2 linked regions of the Macaca mulatta genome follow. The main gene of each other region encodes a partner of the protein of the gene in region 2 in a complex. Links are inferred from orthologs where the notes say so. Each region holds a gene or a part of one and is shown on either strand. Other genes may lie near its edges.

Region 1 (3,348 bases), about 2.2 Mb from region 2:
ATGACAACCGGTGCACCACCCAGGGTCCTCTTTGTCCCTGAGGGCAGGAGACCCACTTCCCCACCCAGAGACAAGGACTCAATGGATTCTTAGTGTTCTTTGTACATAGTACAGCAGTGAACAGTAACATACTACTGATAACTGCAATAATATGGAGGAATTGCACAAATATCAGATAGGAGTGAAAAACACAGACATGAAATTCACACTGTATGATTCCCTTTATATAAATTCAAAAACAGGCAAATGTTATTTATAACATTAAAAGTCAAGACAATATTTTGGAGGAGTCAGGATAAGTGATGAGGGCACACACAGGGGTGGAACTGCTAGAGCTGGAAACTGTTATTTCATGATCTGACTTGTATCACAGGAGTTCATTCACTTTGTGATCAATCTGCATGACCAGATCATATCATGCCCGATAAAATTAGATAGCAACATTTATTGTGGATTCAAAGCATTTATAGCAGCATGGTTTTCCATGAAAAGCAAAAACTGAAAATAATCAAAAGCAAGTTAGCAGTATATGCATTTTTAAACATTATTAAGTCAATCAATTAACTATTACATAAACTTGAAAACATATAAGCTACTCCCTACTAAAAACATAAGCTAAATATATATACCCACACATATGGATGATTTCTACAAATATATTATTGACCGAAATAAGCTTTTCATAAAGTGCTTATAACATTTACATCTTACCATTTCTTCTTCATTATCTATAGAAAGCAGACTGGAGTTCTTCGAAGCACAGGCCAGCAAACTCTCTGCCCAAGTTCTTTTCTCCTTACCAATATAATAACAACTGTTGGAATATGTAATCCACTCCTCAGGACAATGGCCACAGTGACGTGCTAAATAAAGATATGAATTACTGTCTAGACTCATATGAATTTTTAAAAATGAAAAATTTTTAACATATTTGCAAATGTATAAACCTATATGTATGCAACATATCTATGCATCTTCAGAGGCTGGTAAATATGTAGTTTGAAAATACCCAGTCACTTATATACATATGCGCAATAAAGGGTCAACCTCTCATCTCCTAATTGTGTTCCCATATAAAGCAAACCAGCAAACAAAAATCTACTCTATACATGTGTTGAAAATCAATGAACTAATCTGATTTTTAAGGAGCAATAAATAACTTGTATCTTATAGCAATAAGAATTTGAACACAATAGATAAAAACAAAGTATAGTGATTTTACTTACAGTTGATGACAAGGGAATGCCTTACTCTAATCTTTATTTATGAACATTTATTGCCAAATTTTATAATTTTTCACCCCAAATTTTATTTTTGTACAGCCTAAGATCAAGAAAAAGTAAACTGTACAATATTAAAACTTTAAAAATTATTATATACCTTTCTGAGTTCTTGTATTCAGGGAAGAATTGTTGTGCTTCTGTGTTAATGTAGCTAGAAAAATTAAAGTAATCTTTTTTAAAAATTAGCATCTAAATCAATCATAATAATTTTAAGTTTTTGTTTGAAATTTTTTGTGTTAGAGTTAGAATAATATGGAATAAAAATAATTTTAAGAAAAATTTGATAAAGTAATAATGGTTTTTTGGAAAAGTATTTCATAGATCTAAAGAACCAAATTTCACCCTCTCATATGGTTCTTATAATTCTTGATTTAACTACTTTCAAAAATTAATTTCTATTTCTCAGTAAGGTTTTTCAGACTCCTCAAACATATTTTTGAGTTATGAAATCAAAATATATACATGCAATTGCATCGGAAGCAAATACTTTCAACAATTATTCTTTCATTTATTCTTTGACAAATTCTGAATGACCATTCCACATTCAGTCCAAAGATATACATTACAATGAGAATTCTATTCCCTGAAAATATGAAATGTATAGAGGCACATTCAATCATTAACGTGAAAATTCCCCTTGTAATCTTCTAAAATAGACTTACAGGGAATAACAACTATTGTTACCACAGAGGCCATTAAGACAAGACAGATGATTCCCAGTATCCCAGCAATGAGCTTCTCTGGAGCTGAGAGTAAATCTGCAGGGAGCGAAATGGGAACAGTGCGAAAGGAGAGGTGGACATAGTTATTTAGAAGATTCAAAAACAAAAGAACCTGAATGCACAGGAATCATACGGAGAAACTTGGACCCCAAACCCTCATCTCCCATTGTAATCTTTTTCTCAGAATAATATACCATTGCATTTTCAGTAAAAATAATGCTCCATGAATTCTTTGACGAAGACTACACATTTCAACAATGAGTTAAATCAGTCTTCATATTTTATATTGAAATAGCATATCTCAACTTGAAATTCTGATCTTTACAAATAGAAAACATGTGAGTACTCCCTGCTCTTTCCCCACATCCCTGTACCCCAAGCTGCACATCCTAGACTGTTATATTGAGGATCTTTTAAATGCTTTACCTTTGCAGTGATTGGTTTTGTCATTCCCTTGAAAATCCTGCGAAGTTTTTTGAAGGTTTAATTCCGCATAGGTTATTTCCTGTTCAGTTACTAAAATGGAGCTTGTATTACCCTTAGGTTTTTGCTGCTGCCTCTTTGGGTTTGGGGGCAGATTCAAGTCTGAGTAGATTACTCCTTGGTTATCCATCTCTGCAGTGTGTGATGTCAGGGACTGTACTCTACAATAACCGTAGTTAAGAAGTTAATAAATGGTTTATATACAATATTCCCTAGTGCAGTTAAAAGGGTGAGGTGGAGAACGAGTATTGGAGCTCATTTTGCATTAAAGAATCTAAAGTTCTTTCTCTAATTTTCTTCAAGCCTAAACAAGTTTCTTATGGTAAAATATTTGTTTTAAAAAATATATTTTTGGGTCGGGCGCGGTGGCTCATGCCTGTAATCCCAGTACTTTGGGAAGCCGAGGCGTGCCGATTACAAGGTCAGGTGATCCATACCATCCTGGCTAACACGGTGAAACCCCGTCTCTACTAAAAATACAAAAATTAGCCGGACACGATGTCAGGCGCCTGTAGTCCCAACTCTCAGGAGGCTGAGGCAGGAGAATCGCTAGAACACGGGCGGCAGAGGTTGCAGTGAGCAGAGATCGTGCCACTGCACTCCAGCCTGGGCGACAGAGTGAGACTCTGACTCAAAAAAAAAAAAAGAGAGAAATTTCTACGTTTGACAAAATATTATTGCTGGGGCAATAAGAAGCAATAAATTACTAAGGAATAAAGAAGTTCAGGAATAAAAATACATTTCTTAAAGTCTGATGCTTTACCTGTATTAAAAATTAAAATGTATTAGAAAAAGTTCTGCACTCATTTTTTATGTTAATTTTGAAATCCAGTAATGGTTAAGACGATGTGGTCTGCACA
Region 2 (3,819 bases):
GGGGTGAGATGGGTTGGGACAGACTGGTCCTCCCCTCTTCCCCCCATCCCTGCGGTTGGAAAATTTGCCCGCCCTCCCCTTGTCCCTGGGCTGAGGAAACCTCACAACCTCACTTCTCACTCTCTCCCCAGAAGGAGTTTTGTGTTTTTTCCATCACGTGGTTTCCTGTGGGGCAGGGCATTGTGGGGCTACAGTTTCCTCCTGGGAAAGGGGTGTGCTTTGGGGAAAGGGCTTAGTTCTGCTTTCTGCCCCGACAGCCCCTTTGAATCCCTTTGAACCCTTTTGAACCCTGGGCTCCCCTTCAGTGACATCATCCAGGGCACCCCAGAGCCCCCTACACCACTCTTTCCCCAGTGGGGTTGTCCTCCCCGCCTCCCTGGGGGAGCGCACCCCATTGGCCTTCCTTGTGACTTGTGTCTCTCTGTCCATCTCCCGCCACTCCCTGTGGTGTGGCCTTGGTCTGTGTTTCTCTTTGCCTCTGGTCTCTGCCGGGGCACAGCCTGATCCTTCATGGAGACTCTTCCTTAGTTTCCCTCTTCCAAATATTTGGAATATTGCCAGCCCTTCTGCCTTTCAGAGGTGGTCTCTGGGTTCAAAGCCTGGTCAGAATTCTGGGGGCTAAGATAGCTTGAGCCTGGGAGGTCAAGGCTGCAGAGAGCAATAACCGTGCCCCTGCACTCCAGCCTGGGCAACAGAGCTCGGGAGGCTTGCCTTGGAGTCCATCAGGGGCCCTAGGCCAGTGAGTAACAGCTCAGCGTCAGTTTCCTCATCTATAAAATGGGGGTAATATCATACCCAGCCCTCAGCATGTTTGTGAGAGGCATCAATACGATGGTGGATTTGGAACCATCTAGCGCAGTGCCTGGCCACAGTAGGTGCTTGATTTCCTGCCCCTCTCTGTGAATATCTTTGCTCAGCACCTTCCCCTGTGGCCTGGGTCTCACCTTCCCTGACGCTGCCTTCTGTAGGTGGTACCATGGCCACATGTCTGGAGGGCAGGCAGAGACGCTGCTGCAGGCCAAGGGCGAGCCCTGGACATTTCTTGTGCGTGAGAGCCTCAGCCAGCCTGGAGATTTTGTGCTATCTGTGCTTAGTGACCAGCCCAAGGCTGGCCCAGGCTCCCCGCTCAGGGTCACCCACATCAAGGTCATGTGTGAGGTAAGGCAGCCAGGTGGTGGGGGAGCCTCTGCTGAGGCTCCTGTCTGTGACCGCAGTGTGGGTGGCAGGGAGGGTCTGCCTGGGCTTGAATTCAAGGCTGGGGCTCAGGGAGGGAGACTCGAGCCCTGTGAGTGGCCTTATTTGGCTCCCTCCAGGGTGGACGCTACACAGTGGGTGGTTCAGAGACCTTCGACAGCCTCACGGACCTGGTGGAGCACTTCAAGAAGACGGGGATTGAGGAGGCCTCAGGTGCCTTTGTCTACCTGCGGCAGGTCAGGCGGGGACCCAGCTGCTTCCTCCCTTCCCCTGAGCTGTCCCCCAGGTGTGAGCTTCTGAGACCTCTGAGTTGCTGACTTCTCGCTCTCCCCTATCCCAGCCGTACTACGCCACGAGGGTGAATGCGGCTGACATTGAGAACCGAGTCTTGGAACTGAACAAGAAGAAGGAGTCCGAGGATACAGCCAAGGCTGGCTTCTGGGAGGAGTTTGAGGTGCATGGTGGGGAACTGGCAGGGCTGGGGCAGCTGAGGCGGTGGCGGCCGCGTGGGGCCCCAGGCGGACACCTTCCTCCCCTTGCCCACCTCTGCTCCTGACCCACCCCACGTGAGCTCCCCTGATGGGTGCTCTCTCTGGGAGGTGATGCTCATTTCCTCACCCACATCTCAGAGTTTGCAGAAGCAGGAGGTGAAGAACTTGCACCAGCGTCTGGAAGGGCAGCGGCCAGAGAACAAGGGCAAGAACCGCTATAAGAACATTCTGCCCTGTGAGCACCCAGCCTGCCCCATTCACCCAGGAGACCGCCCCACCCCAGCCACTGCCCCTGCCCCATTCACCCAGGAGACCTCCCCTGCTGCAGCCGCTGCCCCTGCCCCATTCACCCAGGAGACTGCCCCGCCCCAGCCGCCACCCCTGCCCCATTCACCCACCCAGGAGACCGCCCCGCTCCAGCCGCCGCCCCTATCTCACAGGTCTCCACCCTCCACTCCAGGAGGGGCCACCTCCCCACACCCCTTCTCCAAAAGGCCTCTACTCCTCCCAGAAGTGCCTCCCCACCATCAGCAGGCAGGCTGCCCCTTGCTCCCAACCTCCTTCTTGTGAATCCCCTCACTCCCTCCGTACAGATGATCCCCCACCCCTGCTGCCCACAGTCCCCCGCAAGCCTCATGGCTTCTGAGACCAGAACGGCCTGTTAGCTCAGGAGGGTCTGACGCAGGTGTGGTGAGTCCCTGGCTGACCCAGGCCATCTCGCCTCCTCTCCACCCACTCCCAGTTGACCACAGCCGAGTGATCCTACAGGGACGTGACAGTAACATCCCGGGGTCCGACTATATCAATGCCAACTACATCAAGGTCAGTGGTGTGGGTCATGTGGGAGGAGAGGCTGGGCCCTGGGAATTCCCTGTCTGGTGGGGGACCCTAGATCCAGAGACACCTGGGCAAAGCCAAAGCTGGCTTCTTGCATGGGTGAGGGGAGCAGTGGTTCAGGCCCTGTGCTGGGCTGAGGGGCTCACTGTTTTGGGGTGCGTCTCTCCACGCTTGTGTCCAGAACCAGCTGCTAGGCCCTGATGAGAACACTAAGACCTACATCGCCAGCCAGGGCTGTCTAGAGGCCACGGTCAACGACTTCTGGCAGATGGCGTGGCAGGAGAACACCCGCGTCATCGTCATGACCACCCGAGAGGTGGAGAAAGGCCGGGTAGGGCACCCCGCCCCATCCCCACATCCTTGCCCCGTCCTTGTGGTCATACCATTAAGTCAAAGAACCGTCAGATGCCAGAGCAGAAAGGGATCTCGGGGGTGAGGGTCCAGCCTTGTTGGGAAACTGAGGGCTAGTGACAAAGTCTCGACTACACGATGCAACCCCCAGATCCCTGCATGCACCCCTGGGCTCTTCTGAGCTCCAGACCCAGGTTTTAGGCTGTCCTCCTTCCTCCTACACCTTCCCCACCTGTCTGCATCCAGGCCCCTCCTGTCCTCCCTGCCCCATAGATGTCTGTGGAGTCTGCCCCTCACTCTGCAGCCTCCCCTTACACAGCACCCTCTGTGCTGCCGTTGAAGTGATGCCATCCGTGACAAACTGGGTCGAGTTCCTTCCCCTCTGAAATCTCTTCCATGGCTCCTGGTCACCTTTGGGATAAAGTCACACTCGAAGGCCTGGCGTTCAAGGCCTGGTGGTTTCCCTCTGACTCCCACGCTTCTCTTGAAGGCTCACCGCTTCCAGCAGCCGCGGCTCTTTCAGGTTCCCAGCCTTTCTTTGCACAAGCTCTTTTCTGCTAGGAAATGACTCTGTCTCCACACTGTCTCCGCCCGGCAGATGCCTCGTGTTTGAAGACACAGCTGAAGCGCTGCCTTCTCTGTGAATTCAGGTCTTGTTTTCTCCAGGACCTAGAGGGCGAGTTTCCTCGTTCCCAGCCACGCTCCTCAGCGCGGCGTCTCCCCGGTCACTTGTCTCTGTGAGCTCCTCCAGGCACAGGGGCACAGACTGGGTGTTAGCTGTGTCTGTGACTACAGCCTGGTTTGCACGGCTTCGGGGACAACGCCTGCCTCGGCAATGTTTGTTGAATGACAAATGGATGTACCAGTAAAGCGGCTGGCCAGGTCGCACCACCTGTTGGTGGCTGATCTGAGACGAGAGCCCAGGTCTCCTGCCTCTCTGCCAGCT

What was found.
Region 1: the proteins of PTPN6 (region 2) and KLRC1 are in contact, whole or in part, in an NMR structure (PDB 2YU7), measured with the Homo sapiens proteins. The link is inferred for Macaca mulatta from reciprocal best matches to the Homo sapiens genes PTPN6 and KLRC1. Residues at the interface, in NP_002822.2 of Homo sapiens: Gly117, Gly118, Glu121, Arg136, Ser138, Leu139, Ser140, Val146, Thr165, His166, Ile167, Lys168, Val178, Gly179, Gly180, Leu181, Glu182, Ile199, Glu200, Glu201, Ala202; in NP_002250.2 of Homo sapiens: Ile38, Thr39, Tyr40, Ala41, Glu42, Leu43, Asn44, Leu45, Gln46, Lys47.

Annotation. Positions count from the first base shown.
Region 1 is NC_133416.1:10,118,887-10,122,234, reverse strand, and holds part of KLRC1 (NKG2-A/NKG2-B type II integral membrane protein), read right to left. Parts: intron 2,650-3,348; 5' UTR 2,619-2,649; coding exon 2,432-2,618; intron 2,042-2,431; coding exon 1,946-2,041; intron 1,435-1,945; coding exon 1,381-1,434; intron 864-1,380; coding exon 712-863; intron 1-711. UniProt on the Homo sapiens protein: Immune inhibitory receptor involved in self-nonself discrimination.
Region 2 is NC_133416.1:7,927,015-7,930,833, forward strand, and holds part of PTPN6 (tyrosine-protein phosphatase non-receptor type 6), read left to right. Parts: intron 1-968; coding exon 969-1,158; intron 1,159-1,313; coding exon 1,314-1,430; intron 1,431-1,534; coding exon 1,535-1,648; intron 1,649-1,823; coding exon 1,824-1,920; intron 1,921-2,427; coding exon 2,428-2,507; intron 2,508-2,703; coding exon 2,704-2,853; intron 2,854-3,819. UniProt on the Homo sapiens protein: Tyrosine phosphatase enzyme that plays important roles in controlling immune signaling pathways and fundamental physiological processes such as hematopoiesis.